Schizosaccharomyces pombe: one gene and its partners. The gene in region 2 interacts genetically with the main gene of each other region. Each region holds a gene or a part of one and is shown on either strand. Other genes may lie near its edges.

Region 1 (7,784 bases), on a different chromosome or scaffold from region 2:
AAAGCAAGTTGACTCAACGTCTCTCTCGACATCTTTCCAAGACATCTTCTCGTCATTCTAGGCTTTAGACTACTATTGTTGAAGCTCCGTCTTTTTCCTTATTTTTTTTCTATCTTTCATTTCTCAAGTTTTTTTATACCGGGCTGTCAAGTGTTTTGATTCCAATTTTGTTTATTTAGTATTTTTATTGCTTCATTCTTTCCAAATTTTTTTGCTGTATTTTTAGTTTAGTTACGATCTTACTCTTACGATTTCTTTTTCATTTTTCTTCTATTTTGCATTTTTTTTTATCTTTATTTGGGGTTTACATTGTTATCAAGTGTTATACCGAGTTTCCCCCATTGTGTTTTTTTACTCCTATACCATTTTGCATGAAAATTATTTTATTTCGTATTTCTTTAATACAATTTTTCTTTTTTTTTACTTTTGTATCAGTCTACTGTCGTTCCGTTGTTCAGTTTCTTATTGTTTACTAATAGTAAATAAAAGTTGATTTGCCTCGAAACACGTACGTTAATTTGGTATTCCATAATTCCAACTTTAGGGTATAGCAAAAAAAAAAAAAATTTTATTAAAAATATGCAAATTATATATACAAAAAATAAATATATATATATAAACTATTTATGGGGTTAAACATTATTTAAATATAGCAGTCATTATATGCATTCATTTAGCCAGTGTGTCCAAGCATTTGACTGACACAATAAATAGTATTCTCGATACGCAAAGTCAGACGGTAGAACAATGAATACTCCTCGGCCTGGTTTACGGGAGCTGCCAGACCGGTATCGCAAGGCGGTGGTTCAGGAAACCCATGCAGTATAGCGGCATGGTCTTCAAGACGCTCACAAAGTTCATAAAGTAATTGATACTGTTGGTCATCAAAAATACAACCTTCATATCCACCAGTACTCTCTGATGGTGATACGTTGCGCAAGGATGAAACCGATCTCTTCCCAGAACCACCCTCCTCTCCATGGACAGATTTTGAATCACTCAATCTTGCTAACATGGGTCGCAAGCTGTTGCTTCTACTACGAACGGGAGTATAAGTCTGAGTTTCCGGGAGGGCTGTGGGTGTTCCCAAACTTCGGCTCTTTATCAATCTCTCCAGTCTTCCTTGCAATTGCACAGGATAAACCAATGAAATCATTTCAGTAGTATCCAAACCTTTTAACTTAAATTCTCCAAGGTTATGGATAATATAACCGATTTGTTTAAGAGCACGAACTTCCATTTCGTTGACATTCGTCTTCTCTGATGACATTGTTTCTGAATCAAGCTGATTCAATACAGATACCACCTCAGCAGAAACAGCAATTTGACCACCATCAGCGACTGATACAACCCTAGATGTTCTGTTTACTACAGGCCCGTAATAGTCCATACGTCTAGTGATGGGATCTAGTTCACTCACGGTTACACCATAATTGACACCAATTCGAACACTAAGCCCTCGATATAACACCTCATTTTTTGAGCCGAGTACCAACCGTCCTTGCACTGACTCAACTATTTCGTTGGGCCAATCTGCCGAAAGTAACTGTAATTGTACTGAAAAACACCAAAGTAATGCAGCAGGAACTGTTTGAAAACAAACCATAAACGCATCTCCTTCGGTTTTTACTTCATAGCCTCCAGTTGCACGGAGTTGCCGACGCATAATAGTATTATGAGTTTTGATCGCAGATCTCATTGCAATAGGATGTCTTTCCCACAATAATGTGGAATTCTTAATATCAGTAAAAACCATGGCAATACAACCTTTCGGGGGAGAGACTTCTCTATTCATTCGTGCTAAAGAAGAATCATCGGGTAAATCTTGGACAAATGACATATTATCGTTCTTTTCAGAAATTGCTAAAGTTTTTTCATCCCCCCGTAGTTGGTTGAAATTAAGGGAATTCTCTTCAAACAATCCGTTCAATTCGACGATAACTACAAGAACATTTTTTTCTGCACCATATGCAATAGCATAGTCACGTAGCTTCGTAGAGGCTAATAGAGGAGAATGTCTGTTGGCACGAACAACGTCAATTACTGTGCGTTTTGATAATACGCTCCAAAATTCCTGATTTGCTAGAATGATAAATTCGTTTAGTTCAGATAAGTACTGCACATTAACATAGGGAACTGCTTGGACGCCAGGAAATTGAGACAAACGACCAATAGCACGTGTAGTGGTCGATTTTATTTCACCAGATATGAAACCACATGAATCAACTATGCGACGAATTTCATCCCTATTGTACACATCATGCATGACACTTAAAGTTGTAGGTTCCGAATCATTTCTCGTAGACATTATAGCCATTGATGTGCCCACATTGGCAACGAAAGCTCTTGTATCCCTGACGTACACTAAGATAATGCTAACTCCTATATCCAAGCAAGAACTGTCCATAGAATAACCCTTTTCTGAAATATTCATAGTGGTAACGTAATTACTATCCACGTCTCCTTCTGAAGACTTCCTAAGGTCATAATGAATGACATTTCCTAATTTTTTGTTTAAACGAAGAAATCCTCTTCTCAAAGCGTTACAAATTTGTTCAGAAGAGGAATCTGCTGCATTAATCTCATGCGCTAGGCATGAAGCCAAATTGTCGTACACAAATTTTAAAACCCGGTTGTTTTTTCCAGCGCTGATGTCACTGTCAAGCACACAGTATAAAGATGATTGAGGATGCAAAAAGTTGTTAACAACTAATTCACATGCAGAGATGACGGGAATAGAACGAGAAAGGTATCCACATACTCCATACCTCAAAATGTTAGGTTGAGGAGAGTTGCGTTGAATAAAATGGTTTAGAACATCAGAAGGCGCATTAGAAAATTTTGTATTCAAATCCATGATGCTCAAAAACTTTAAATTCTTCAAATATGATTTTGTAAAGTTTGTATCTTCATGCTCAGAGAATCGAAACCATGTGTTACCAGATAGATTAAGGTATTCCAATTGAGGAAGTTTAGTTAAACTCTTCTTTTCAGCTTTTTCTACTGCTAAATTCTGCAGATTATTGGTACTTATGTCCAAAAATCTTAAACTTTTAGACAAAGCTTCATTTTTAGGAAAAGAGGAAAGACGATTTCCATTCGCGTACAAAGTTTCAAGTAGGACCTGCGCTGTACTGGAAATGGAAAGATTTGCAAGCTCATTTCCTGACACAAAAAGGTGTTTAAGATCAGAAAAATTTTGGAAAAACTTGCTTGGAATTTCCGTTAAATAATTGTAAGATAAATTTAAGACTTTTAAACACTTAAAGTATTCTAAAGCCGTAAAACAGTCATTGCCCAATCTGTTGTCCACCAAGTATAATTCTTCAACGGTAGGCATAACAAATTCTTGGGAGGAGAGGCTCGATACCGGATTTCCTGATAAAGTACGCATGATTTTTAATTGGCTAATTGTCCTAGTTAATTTTTTTGACGTTGCAACTGGTAACTTGATTTTCTCCAGGATATTGGAAGACAGGTTAACAACTTTTAGTGAAGAGACTTGCCATACTTCCTCAGGGAATATTTTGATATTATTTGCATGTAAATCCAGGTGAACTAAATGCTTTAATTTGCCAAGGTTTGGTGAAACATAAGACATTTCACAGTTCGTGCAAGACAAATATTTCAAATTTTGCATAGCAGAAATTGCATCGGAAATGCTAGTAAAGTGGTTGTAATTCACTTTCACTGTTTCTACATTTACTAAAGTTTCAATGACAGAATCCTTGAGCCCAATAAGCTTCGCATGTGAGATATCAAAGTAGACGAGATTGCTATAGCTAAATGCCGGATCAATTGTAGTCAGTGGACAAAACGAGAAGTCGATGAATGTAGCTGACGGATTGGAATATTCGTAAAAAGAAAGTAAATTGCAAGCTACATTGATGCTATTTAGTTTCGGACATTCAGATAAACTGGCGATGTTAGTAATCGCATTATAACTAAGGTCAATTGTTTCCAGATTTTTTAGCAAGCCTATTTCCTGTGGAAGCCGATTAGATAAATCATTAAATTGTAGATATAGATGCTTCAATTTAACAAGAGAGCCAATTTTGCTAGATATCTGTGACAATAAATTATGCGAAAAGTTAAGAGTCTCCAATTGGGACAACTCAGTAATTATTAAAGGGAAAGTCACAAAATTATTGTAGGATAAATCAAGATAGGTTAGATTCACCAAATATCTAGTAGAATGGGGAAGGAAGAACAGCTTATTATTAGCTATATTCAATTCTTTCAGAGAATTTCGACTAAGCCCAGAGAATATAAGAGGATCCAATTCATATATATCGTTACGAGACATGTTCAAAACTTCCAATTGGCGAAGAGCAGTAATCGGTTTTCCTCTTGGAGACCTTAAATTATTGGAAATGTCTAACCGCTTAAGCTTGACACAGCGCTCCATGAAATCTAAAGGCAGGTCCAGCGATAAATTGTGCGAAACATTCAACGAGATAAGTTCATGGGCATAGGGATAGATCTTTACCGGAATAACCTCCAGGTTTGACCTACTAATGTCAAGGTTCGCAGTAATTTTTTTTTCAGAGAATTTACGCAATACATCCGCTCCAATATCCATCGTAGTAAACACCAATCTAGCAACACTATAATTATCTTCTTCATTTATTTCTTCATCGGAAGTTACCTTACACCCAAACAAACTCAATAATCGTTCAAATATAATGCATGGCTGTTCATGAGGCAACAAAATACGTTCTGTATTGAATTGGATTAATAAGAGGTAAAAATTAGCAGACGAGGGAAGAAAAAATAACCTTGCTAACAGCTTAATCACTTCATGAGTTTGTATGCCAATAGGGCAAATGAATGATACGGAAGTTCGATCATCACGGTATACTCGAAGAAAGAACTCTTTCTTTCTATTGCCCAGGGAAGGACGAGCAAAAAATCTAGTAGTAAAAACCTGCTTTGGAATAGCCTCAGTGGGCAAACTAGTTCCCCAACTCTCCGGAGCTTTCCAAGAATCATCGGATAAAATGGAAGGGTACGGTAAAAACTTCTTCCAAGGGCTATCATAACTATCTCTATGATAATCGAGGTCCAGGATATGAGCCGCAGAAGCAGGGATTCCATCATCATCACTATTCCTGGGTAATTCGTGTATGCTACCTTCCAAACTAGCTGGCCAATTGTTATTAAGAGAATCACGTTGAAACTCCACACTGTCACTGTCATCAGAAATCGGTTCTGGAAAAGTTAGATTGGTAAATGACTGATTCAGGTTTTTGTCGAAAGATTCTCTGTCCTTATCAATAAGTCTTCGAAGGCCTGCTTCTTTAGAAATTGCACAATTAGACGAGTTATTTTCTTTGTATGGCTTTATCCCAGCACTACGGGTATCACGTGGCACTTCAGACTTTTCAGAGCTTTCTCTTGCAGCTAAGGCGGTATCCGATTTAGTACGTCCCGTGTCAGATAAGCTAAAGTTCTCATCCGGTTCATAAAAATGGAAAAGCACGCTTTTGCTAGGTACTGCAGGAGTGCTAGGATAGGTCTTAAAAGCTTCGACAGGTCGTCCAGAATTACCGACAGGTTGAGTGCAAGGTGAAAGAGCTTCATGGGAGTCATTACAGAGATTTGCTTCGGTTATTTCTGGTATATCATAGTTCACAGACGTCGCTGAGTCATCGTCCTTCTCGTCAAGGTCATCAAGCCAGGATATACCTGTTTTAAAATGTTCAGGCGGGTTTGGAACAGCTGACTTTAACAATCGCTTGCTTTGATCCATTAGTGGCAATTTGCATCCTTCCTAAGAATCTGTAGCACCTTCGTTTCAAAAATACCACTATACGCGAATTTTGGACAAGGAAAATTCAATAATGGTTATATCCCTATCCAAGGAAGGAATATTGAATTTATAGAACTAGTATTTGCTCTATTATCCTAGTTCCAACACCAGCGTTTCTTTGTCTGATTATATCACTTGTTAGGTTTAGAACAAGAAAGGGTTTGGGTTCCAACACCTCATGTATCTTCCTAACTCTAAACTATATTCCAGAGTGGTAATTTCCAACACTATGTGTTCTCAGTGAATTAGTGAGGAAGAAACTGTAAGGCGCGTTCGAATACTGCGTACGTCACTATTTCATCGATTTGTAAACAAATCTACTGAATATACTAGATGAAGGCGGTCTTGAATTAATTACTATGATTTTTTTATTTTTTTTTTTGAAGGCTTTCCATTACTCCTTCCATTAATTAACATTGGATTTGACTGATGAGTTAAAAAAGCTTCTTTTATCAAAGTTTCAAACTGAGTTTTAAAGTATTCATGAAACTTTCATCTAATTTTATCCTTAAATGATACTCGCCCCTTAAATATAAGGGCAATACGATTGACTGTTTGAATGAGACGAAATGTTTGTAAAGTAACCTATATTTACAGGTCAATGAATATGAATTAAATGATAAAATGTCAAGTTTTGGTATATATATCCTAATAAATAATCAAGGTGTTTGAAGCATTAAAAAAATTAGTAGCTTAGATCACGTAAACTCCCATTGTTTAGCCTAAAGTGTTTCCCAACCTCCGGTGTCTGGATTCGCATCCAGTTGTCGAGCAATATAAGAAGGAATAGATCCGTTTAGCCACATCGTTCGTACTGTTTCATCATAACGTTTTTGTGATAGATATTGAGAGCGGCCACGACGCAATCCCAAATCTGTCTCTCCATACGCATCCAAAAATGGAGCTACAGAGAAGCTTCCTACAGGTGGATTGAGGTAGAGAATAGCGCATTTTTTGACAATAAGAAAAATTCCAATGTCAGAAGCGCATTGTTGCATATGAAGATTACATTCTCCAATACCATTAAAGGAACAACAATGACTTTGGAAGCATAAGAGCTTCCCACAAAATAAACATATCGCTGGTTCCATAGGTTCAGTTAAACATTTCGAGCATCGCCTGGCCAATAGTAACTCAAAGACTTTATCCAATTCATACGGTAAAGAAACTAGTTCATAAATTCCAGGGTAATAAGCGCGAGGAAAATCGCATAGAGGACCAGTCTCTGTAAAGAAATTACACCAGTGCTTTATAAGGCTCCATTCTGTGGAAGATGCCGTAAGACAAAGATGATTAGATAATTCAATAACACCTGGAATATGCATTTTTGTTTGTAAACGTGATAATTCTGAATTTTGAAAGTTTAAATTCGGTTGCGTCTCAAATGAAACTCCATAGCGGCAATACCAAAGCAAAGCACATTTTCGAAGGAAGATTAGAGAAAACCTTTCCAATAGTTTATACAGTGTAAACAAAAGATGAGGATTATTTAGATCATCCTCCGTACAACAATCAAAATTGATTAATCCTGCTCCGTCGACACGAAGACTTTTCCAAATTTGGATAACTAAGTGCTCAAACCCCTTTAGCTGCTCATAGTCAAAGGCTTCAAATTCAACTGATTCCATACATTTCAGTAAAGAGTTTCTTTGTGACAAAAGAATCCATAAGTTTCGAACTATATCGGCAGTATAGTATAATTGCGTCAAGTAGTGAAACGATTCGTCACATGATAATAAACCAGAGACACTGGCTTCGGCGAATTCTCGAAATGTATCCTTCACAAGTAACGGCTCAACTCTATCATCAGTAATAGATTTGGTAACCGGTGAATCTAGAGAGGGCAATAGTCGCCCAAATATCCTTTTTTGTTGGCAGAAACTAATAAATTCAAACTCTTGAATTGAACCCCCAATACGCTTCTGTGAATCATGTGCACATAACAAAGTATAAGTTTTGATAGATTCAGATA
Region 2 (4,400 bases):
CTCTCGAAGATGAAATCTTTAGAAAAGAAAAGCAGCTTGCTGAAACTAAAGTTAACTTGGCCGTTTTAGACGAGGACCATATGATGGCTTTACAAAAATGGAGTCAGCTTATGAACCGCATAAAGACAAAGTGAATATAAAAGCATTCTAGGTACTATTGGAATATCTGCATCCTAATGATTGCCATAATAATTTATTTATATTGAGTTACGTTTAATGTGTATTATAAAAAATCTTTGTTCCTGCAAGTTTGTCTTACTTAAAAACATACAAACGATAGTTCAAATGAATGTATATTTAATGAATCGTCTCACCTTTAATCAGTGAAGAAAGAATTCTATTGCTCTTGATCACGACCACTTCGCTTAAACTCTATATTTCTGCCTAAAGAAATCGAGTAATAAATTTTAAAAAGCATCTGAAAATAATACAAGGTTATTATCAGTTTGATGACTTTATCTTGTACAAAAAATAGGTTTACAAAGTTCTAAAAAGAAAATTTAAGAGAAAAAAAGATATCATTAAAAAGCCTAGTTCTCAAATATACTTTTTGAAATAAAAGACAACGTGATTAAAGCAACTGAATTTCACAAACATTGACAGTAAATTCAAATGCAAATGTAAAAAAAAAGACACTTTACAAGTACAAGAAATAAAGGAATCGATTAAAACACGAATATATATTGCCAAGAAAAATCCAGTCAAAAATTTCATGTTAAAACCGGGAAATGAACTTGAGATTTTTGCAAAGAATCGATCAAGTCATACACATATTTAAATTGTGTGAAGGTTTGAACCATCTTCATCCGCTGCTTTCGGATATGATCAACCAACTGGAAAACGACGTCTGAAGAATCGGCGACAGAAGGATTGAAACCAGAAAGTTTGCTTTCTGGGAAGCGTAGGATCGTATCTAGTACAATAAAGGTTCCTGTCCGACCAACACCGGCAGAGCAGTGCACAATAGTATTTCCTGATCCGTGAGAGTTGTTCACATATTTTAAGAACTCAACCATAGATTTCACGTTTTCAGGAGAATTACAATCAGACCAATTAGGATATTGATAGTGATGTACTTTTTTAACTGAAGGAAAATTGGCATTCTGAATTTCAAACTTTCGCAAAATGAATCGAGAATTATCGACATTTTCCTCCGAAATTTGTTTGACACAGTAATCTCCATACACTTGTTTATCTCCAATACCATTACTTGGCCAATATGCAGTACACATTTCGCGGCCAGCCTCGAACAATGAACCAAGCATAACAATAGTGCCTATATTCTCCACATTGTCCCATACCATGTGCCAGAAATCGCTAATAGAACGAGAAATAGAACCTTGGCAAGCGATGTAATTTGAAGTTTCAGTTTTGATAAAGGAAGCATTGATATAATCGAGCTCTGAAGGGCTAGTTCTTTTCAAATGCACACGAGTACAATTGTAAGGAACAATGTCGGTATATCTGTTTTTCTTATACGATGTATTACTCAATGAATCAACGGTACTCCACTGAGAATTACGATCCGAACAAGAAACTAGACGTTGATGCTCCAATGATTGCAGGCGCAAGAACTTCTGGTAGAGGGTCGCAACATCTGGATTGGTAAAAGCATCGGGCACACTGTGTAAGCAGGGTGTCTGGACTGTAGCACTGCCAAATGGAGAAGATTTGTTGTCCTTGTTCTCAGGTAGAGGACAGAAAAAGTTATTTAAAGACAAACCGGCAACATTAGGAGTGGGAGGAGGACGAGAGAAGTAATCGGAGCCTTCGCTGGACAAAGAGATAGGAGCAGTTTGAGCAGCAGAGTAAGACAATCTGGGGCGAGCGCTAGGCAAAGCACCTAATTTACTTTTTACAGGAGAGTTGTCAATCACAGATGGATACTTGCCCGAGACTTTCGAATAGTCTAAATCTAAAATACCGAAGTCACCAGAATAGGATTCTTTTCTAAATTTTTCACCAATTACCTCAGCGTTCGTTACGTAGTTAGCAATCCAAGCAGGAACACAAACAAGAATGGATGAAAACTCTTGCCAGTTTTGAAAATCTCTCTTGTCGTCGACGTCGTGAAGATTGCTGATGATACGCGCGACCGAAAAGGCAGGACGCTTAATTAAGGTTGCAGGTAAAGAAAGATTGACGGAGCCCTTAATTCTAGATTTGGAAAACTCGGATACGGGACGAAGGTCGATGATCAATGTGTCATCCTTCCAAGCTTCCTTGTCGAGATATTCTTGGAGGCAAGAAGCATGAACAGCATACTTACTCGTTGCTACACCCCGCTGAGGAGGTAAAGCAATACATGAACCCGAAGGAGCAATTGTAAAAGTAGACGATTTTGAACCGTTTGAAAAATTCATCGTGGTTTTTTAGATGAATGTTTTGTATTAAGAATATTTGGCCTTAAAAAAGAAGCAGAGATGATTAAAAAAAAAAGTAAAAAAGTAAAAAAAAATTCAGACTTCTTAAATAAAATACAAATATTGGATAGCACAAGTTTTGAAGGCCGAAAGCAAAATAATGAATGGATAGGAAATATCAAAATTACGGAAAATCCAGGGTTCTAAAAAGGAAAGAATTAACGCAAAATTTGGCAATAAAATTAGTAAAATATAGAAGGAAACAAGAGAAGATTCAAATCAAGTCTGAGATGAAAAAAGTTTTTCAATTCAAACTTTCTGCAGAAAATAAAGATGGAAGAGTTTTAGAGGGGATGAGGAGTATCCAATTCAAAGAATGGGTTTGAATCAGTACTATGCAAATATGAGAATAAAAAGGGGGAATCCTTAAAAATTAACGGATTAATGAATCGTCACTTCAAAGGTCAAGCGATTTTAAGAGGAAAATAAAAATACTGCTTGTGAGTGCACAGTGCAAGATTGCAAAAAGCAACACTATTTAAGAAATTATTTCGTATTTAGTAGAAAATGCAAAAAGGTAGGGCACACGCACGAAAACAGTAACCAGACTGAACAAAAATATAAGATAGAGGGTATAAGAAATATTATAAGTTGCAGTTTGTCAAAGTGCAGAAAAGTATACAAGTAGGAGATCGAGGAACGAAAAGAGGTAGAGGCTAATTGAAATGTAATGACAATGGAATAATTTTCCTACAAAACAGAAAACCCAATTTAAAAGTCAGAAGCGTATTCAAAGCTAAAGGGGGGAACCAAAAGCACGTTGATGCAACAAACTAGCAAAAACGTAAGGTCAACTAAGGATGAAAATTACAGAGCACACGTCTGTAAATAAACCAAATGAATGGTGAATACTTAGACAGATGAGTTCAGAAAAAAAGAAACAGAACTATTCAGAATGCAGAACCCCACAAAAAAAACAATAGACAAGTAACCACCAAGACCCCAAAGTGAAGTGAAAACAAACGGTAAAGCAATGAAGAAAATGGGAAAAAAATTCAAAACTTAATCCGAAAAACTCAAGGGAAAGGAATATATGAGCTCTTCAAAGGTTCAAAAAAAGCGATACTACACTGTGGAAAGAAACCCAAGAGTACACCTTTTTGAGAAAAGACAAAGAAAATGATGAAACGAGAAATAGGATAACTAGAAAAGGAGAATTCCGAAAATATGAAAATATCAACGAAAAGGAAACAAGAAAAAAAAAGAGGGAGGTATAAAAAAAATGTAAAAGGAGAAAAATCTAACCCAATTGAGAGAAAGAAGTGGTGAAACAAAAGTTGAGAAAAGTTGAAGAAATTAACTATTTTGCATCGTACGGGATAAAAAAATGAAGCAAATAGAAAAAGCACGGCGATTCAACGATATATCTGGTGCTCTTTTATGGAAGGAAAAAAGACTAGTTCTTCCTATTTATTCACTTTGAGTTAAAGTTTAGAAAAGAAAAGATGGGCGCAGGTAATGAAACAAACGACTTTTAAAAGCTACGTATAGCGGTGGAGAGACAACAGAGAGAACTGTTGACGAGATGAAGGATGGAGGAAAAAATCTAAGAAAGAGAATTAAACGCACTAAACGTCAACGAAATCAAGTCTAACGATTTTTGATTTTTACCAAACGATCAGAGCAAGGACTGAGCGACGAACCAAGGTAAAATTTTTCATACGATCCAACAAAACGACGATGAAAATAAGATCCAATCTTATACTTTACCCAACGTTTAAACAGGAAACCCAAAAGATAAAAAGGATTGGGAGCAAGTAAAGGGTTAAGAGGAGGAAGGGAGAGGACGAGCGAGCGATATGTAGAAAGAGAAGAAGAAGTAGAAATAGGTATATCTTGGAGCACCAAACAATGATATCACTTAATAGTCCCCCGGGTAAGAAAGAAAAAAAAAAAAGCCAACGACAAGTAACAGATCAAATAGATCAACCAGACAAAGTAACAATTGAGTACAAGTAGGCTATCAAATTAACCAAC
Region 3 (4,409 bases), on a different chromosome or scaffold from region 2:
GGTATATATTGGACGAGTCGGCGCTCGATGCGTCCAAGAAATTTATGGTCTACCTATAAAGCATTTGAAACAGAGAAACCGTTGGAAAATGATGCATTTGCTCAGCTTGAGTTAGCCGTATATAAACTTTCCCAGCAACGAAAACTATCTATATCCATCTTCCGTGAGCTTGAAAATGCAGGACGGCACTCTCCTCTGAATAGACTTACGTCTTTAGACTCAACACACTCTGCACCTGATCCCAATCATATCTCAAAACCCTCTGTTGTTAATCAGCAGAAATCCAGAGGAGGTCCCCGTACTGCTAAGCTGAAAAATGACCTCAGACGCATACAATCATCTCCCATTGTTGCACCTACTCCTGATACATCATTTCGTGAGCCTTTATCCGAAATTGGGTCTAATGATAGTTGGCTGGTATTACCAAATTCACTAAGTGCCAATATACAAAATGATGTTTTAAGAAAAACTGATTTCATGTGTACTGACAAGGAAAACGTCGCTTTTCCTTTGAAAACCACAACAAAGCCTATGCCTAAAGTAAATAAAGAAGAGACAGAGCCAACTCTGCCTGTTTGCGATTCAGAAAAAGAAAATGATGATTTAGAGTGCTATTTCAGAACCCCTCCAAAACCAACTACCTTACAAAAGCAACAACAAAGTCCATCACCCTGGAGGTCAGAGTTATTTTTGTCTGACCCTGACCAAAACGTATTGACACCAAGGCATAAGCCAAAGTTTGATTTATCAAAGGCATTGTCTTCGGTTGCAAAATCCAATAACATTGAGAATTCACCTCAATTACCAGAAAGATATGATTTTTCTTTAGAATTGGGGTTGAATTCTCAACTCGATAATGAAGAAAGACGCGATATTCCTCTGATGACAGATTTGGTGATGCCAAGTAGTCCGCCCATGGTCCCTGCTGACAGGCATTTATCCGTTGAAAACACTTGTTGAAAGAGCGATAAAGGCGTACCTTTGCTTCACACATTACCCTTGTTCTTTAATTTTTTGTTTTATCAAGAAGTCATGTGTGATCAAAATTGACATCTTTCATTATTCGAGTCTTCTTGCTTTTTTATGATTTTTATTTTGATAATGACATCCTTAATTCGTTTTCTTAACCGCAAAAAAATGATTGTTGCTGTTAAAGTCCTTACTGCGTAAGAACTCCCAAGGCATGTCCCCTCAAATCCGTCCTTCGTTCTTTTTATTTCTAAAGCAATTTATTTTATTTTCTTTCATACCATGAGCCGTTATTACCTCCCCCTTGATTATTAAAATATTTCAAGTCGTTGCTTATTGTTGGCGGCATAGCCAAGAGCATGCGACAAGCATTCTATAAATCTTGTCGCAAAATAGAAGTTGGACACTATTTCTTTTAATCTTCTCAAATGTTCTTCGACTTCATCTTTGAGGCTCGGTTTATGGAAATTTTGGATACTTCGTGATAGTTCTGTCTGTTTTGCTTATACAAACAAATTATAATTTCATTAATTGTATTATGAAAGCCGATATGGACAAAGCCACATCCTTATTTTACATACGGAAAAAGTTACTTTTAATTATTTATATGAACACTGTTATTCTTGTTAGCATGTTTATGTTGCGAAACGTTTCTAATTGATTATTATGGGTAGACCGGATAATTGATATTTAGCAAATTCACTAGACGAACACATGACAAATTTTTTTCAGTAATGCGAACCAAAGTCACGCGAAAGCAAGTGTAAAAGTCGAAGGATTTCAATACATGGTTCAATATTTTTGTCTAGAATAAATCAAACGTTTAGTTCATATATTCAAAACAACAGCTTATTGCTGCTTACTATTTCTAATTTTCTAATAGCCTTTTGTTAGCATTTTTGTATTATAATGTAGTTCAATGCAGAGCGGATAACGGTTTAGTGGAAGTTAACCTAGTACGTAAAAATGATTTCCGAAGATCTCGGTATACCACGCGTGACGTAAATGCCCGAGTTTATTAGCACTGACTGACTTAACAAGTTTATACTTACGCAGAAACCCAAGGAAAATCGGTGTTTCTCGTATATACTATACAATCAGCAATTTTATACCTGATATTATAATTGAAGGTATTTAGTTAATTTGAAAAGCAATTTTTTTGTCGGTACTGAAGTGTTTGAACGAATATGAAGGGAAGCCATCCAAATGCAGGTTCCCTGTTGGAACCACTTCACAAGTTGAACCCATTTTCTGAAAATTCTACAAGTGGACATCGAAAAAACGCTAGTGATCATTCGGCGGATGGAGAAACTCGACCGATTGCAATTGAGATGAAGGATAGTAAAGGCAACACAGTCCCAGTTGGTAACTCGCGCCCTAGTAAAGCCTCTAACTGGCTTGCTGGACTGATGGAGGATAAAAACCAAAGATGGCGTAGGTCTATGGAGGATACTCATATTTGCTTGTATGATTTTGGGGGTAATCAGGACGACGGCTTCGTTGCCGTTTATGACGGACATGCTGGCATTCAAGCATCTGACTACTGTCAGAAGAATCTTCACAAGGTACTTTTGGAAAAGGTTAGGAATGAGCCGGACCGGCTGGTCACAGACCTAATGGACGAAACATTTGTCGAGGTCAACAGCAAAATTGCAAAGGCTACTCACAATGACATTTGCGGTTGTACCGCTGCAGTTGCTTTCTTTAGATATGAGAAAAACCGCACCCGCCGTGTTCTCTACACAGCTAATGCAGGTGATGCACGTATCGTATTATGCCGTGATGGTAAGGCTATTCGACTTTCTTACGATCACAAGGGATCCGATGCCAATGAGTCTCGTCGTGTGACCCAGTTGGGTGGTCTCATGGTACAAAACCGAATTAATGGCGTTCTTGCTGTCACAAGGGCCTTAGGTGATACCTATCTTAAGGAATTGGTCAGTGCGCATCCCTTCACCACTGAAACCCGAATCTGGAACGGTCATGATGAGTTCTTCATTATCGCTTGTGATGGCTTGTGGGATGTAGTATCGGATCAGGAAGCTGTCGACTTTGTTCGCAATTTCGTAAGCCCTCGCGAAGCCGCTGTTCGCCTGGTAGAATTTGCATTAAAACGTCTTAGTACAGACAATATCACTTGTATTGTAGTTAACTTGACTCGCAATCCCGGTGATCTCGATGATTCAGGACTTACCGCTGATAATGATTCATACAGTAATGACTATTATTAGGTATTTGATGGATTCAATGATGTGCTTTCTGTTGTTTCGTAACGGTTTTTCGATGTCTTTACCTCATCCACAGTACTTGTTTGGAAGCCGGAATGACTTAATCCTATTTTTTTGTTTACCAAGCACTGTAATTGCATCGATTCTTTTCCTTTATTTATGGACCTTGTATTCTCATTTGGACATGGTTTTCCTTTGGGTCGACTTATTTTTTCTAATTAATTACTCTTCTTTTTATAAACCACTTTGTGCATGTTTCTCTTGTTCTTCTTTTTTGTCTAAAAGTAATGTGTCTAAATATCGATCCTAAATCTGTCCAAATCTAGTTTCTTTTTTCTTTTTTCATGATTTGCTACCTTTTCCTCCAATCTGCGTGCCACTGTTCGAATCAATCGTATATTCATCATTAGCCCTCTTCATACCCATTTAAAGGTACAAACATTTCACTCTTTTTAAGGTTCTTCGTGAGTGTTTTCGGTATTTTTATTTACAATTGCTTCGCAAATATTATGAATGTACTTGCGTGCATGCATTGGTGTTTATAACAAAGGCTATACGTTCACCAAAAAAAATTTATTTTACCCTTTTATCGTCTTTAATTTTCGATTTAAAAGTCGAATTATAATTATTATTCTGAAGTTACGGGTTGTCTTTATTTTGTCCCGTTCCTGCTAAAATACCATTTGCACGTAAAAATATATATACATACACTAATTGTACCAAGTATTCGAGATTTTAGCATTGGCCTAAACATAGGAAAAAGACAACGCTTTTCTACTTACTGTCTCAACTCTAGTTTTCATACATAAAGGTGCAGAGCAATACAATCAAATGATACTCACCGGATAAAGACATGCAATTGTTTTTTATAATTACCGTTTATAGGTTTTTTGTTGAATGATCTGGAAATGAATGACTATAGTAATAGATAATAATACATGAAAAAAACATTGACAAATTGAAACAACCACGTTAAACCGATCATACATAGCTGAACTGAAGTCAACTCAACTCATTTTGTCATGGTGAAGTCAAAGTTCTCACCAAACAAGTCATTTATGCTTTCAGTGGTTGGAATGTCTGTAGGAAGATTTAGAGCGTTGTCAAACGTATTAGTTAAATGCGAAGCAAAGCTGCCATCATTACCGAACGCAGCACTGTAGTTTTCTTGTGCTTGCAAGTCAATTCCCATTTGCTGGTTAGGAAACAAAG

Evidence for each region. Genes that interact genetically often act in the same process or in processes that back each other up.
Region 1: of pyp1 (region 2) and cyr1, extra expression of one rescues a mutant of the other (dosage rescue), as found in Schizosaccharomyces pombe (2 studies listed by BioGRID, with this or other methods).
Region 3: mutations in pyp1 (region 2) and ptc1 impair growth when combined (synthetic growth defect), as found in Schizosaccharomyces pombe (2 studies listed by BioGRID, with this or other methods).

The regions. Positions count from the first base shown.
Region 1 is NC_003423.3:2,817,976-2,825,759, reverse strand, and holds cyr1 (adenylate cyclase), read right to left. Parts: upstream 5,959-7,784; 5' UTR 5,753-5,958; coding exon 674-5,752; 3' UTR 540-673; downstream 1-539. Other genes in the region: SPOM_SPBC19C7.04C (uncharacterized protein), read left to right, coding at 1-68; N-end-recognizing protein, UBR ubiquitin-protein ligase E3 Ubr1, read right to left, coding at 6,535-7,784. UniProt on the Schizosaccharomyces pombe protein: Acts in glucose-induced cAMP signaling by catalyzing the synthesis of the second messenger, cAMP to activate PKA signaling and repress sexual development and gluconeogenesis.
Region 2 is NC_003424.3:5,159,475-5,163,874, reverse strand, and holds pyp1 (protein tyrosine phosphatase Pyp1), read right to left. Parts: upstream 2,364-4,400; coding exon 711-2,363; 3' UTR 515-710; downstream 1-514. Other genes in the region: GTPase-activating protein Gyp51, read left to right, coding at 1-134. UniProt on the Schizosaccharomyces pombe protein: Plays a role in inhibiting the onset of mitosis. Dephosphorylates sty1/spc1 and wis1/spc2/sty2.
Region 3 is NC_003421.2:2,002,523-2,006,931, forward strand, and holds ptc1 (serine/threonine protein phosphatase PP2C catalytic subunit Ptc1), read left to right. Parts: upstream 1-2,013; 5' UTR 2,014-2,156; coding exon 2,157-3,200; 3' UTR 3,201-3,870; downstream 3,871-4,409. Other genes in the region: GATA-type transcription factor Ams2, read left to right, coding at 1-960; SPOM_SPCC4F11.03C (uncharacterized protein), read right to left, coding at 4,210-4,409. UniProt on the Schizosaccharomyces pombe protein: Serine and threonine phosphatase. Has a specialized role in the heat shock response. May be responsible for the dephosphorylation of hsp90.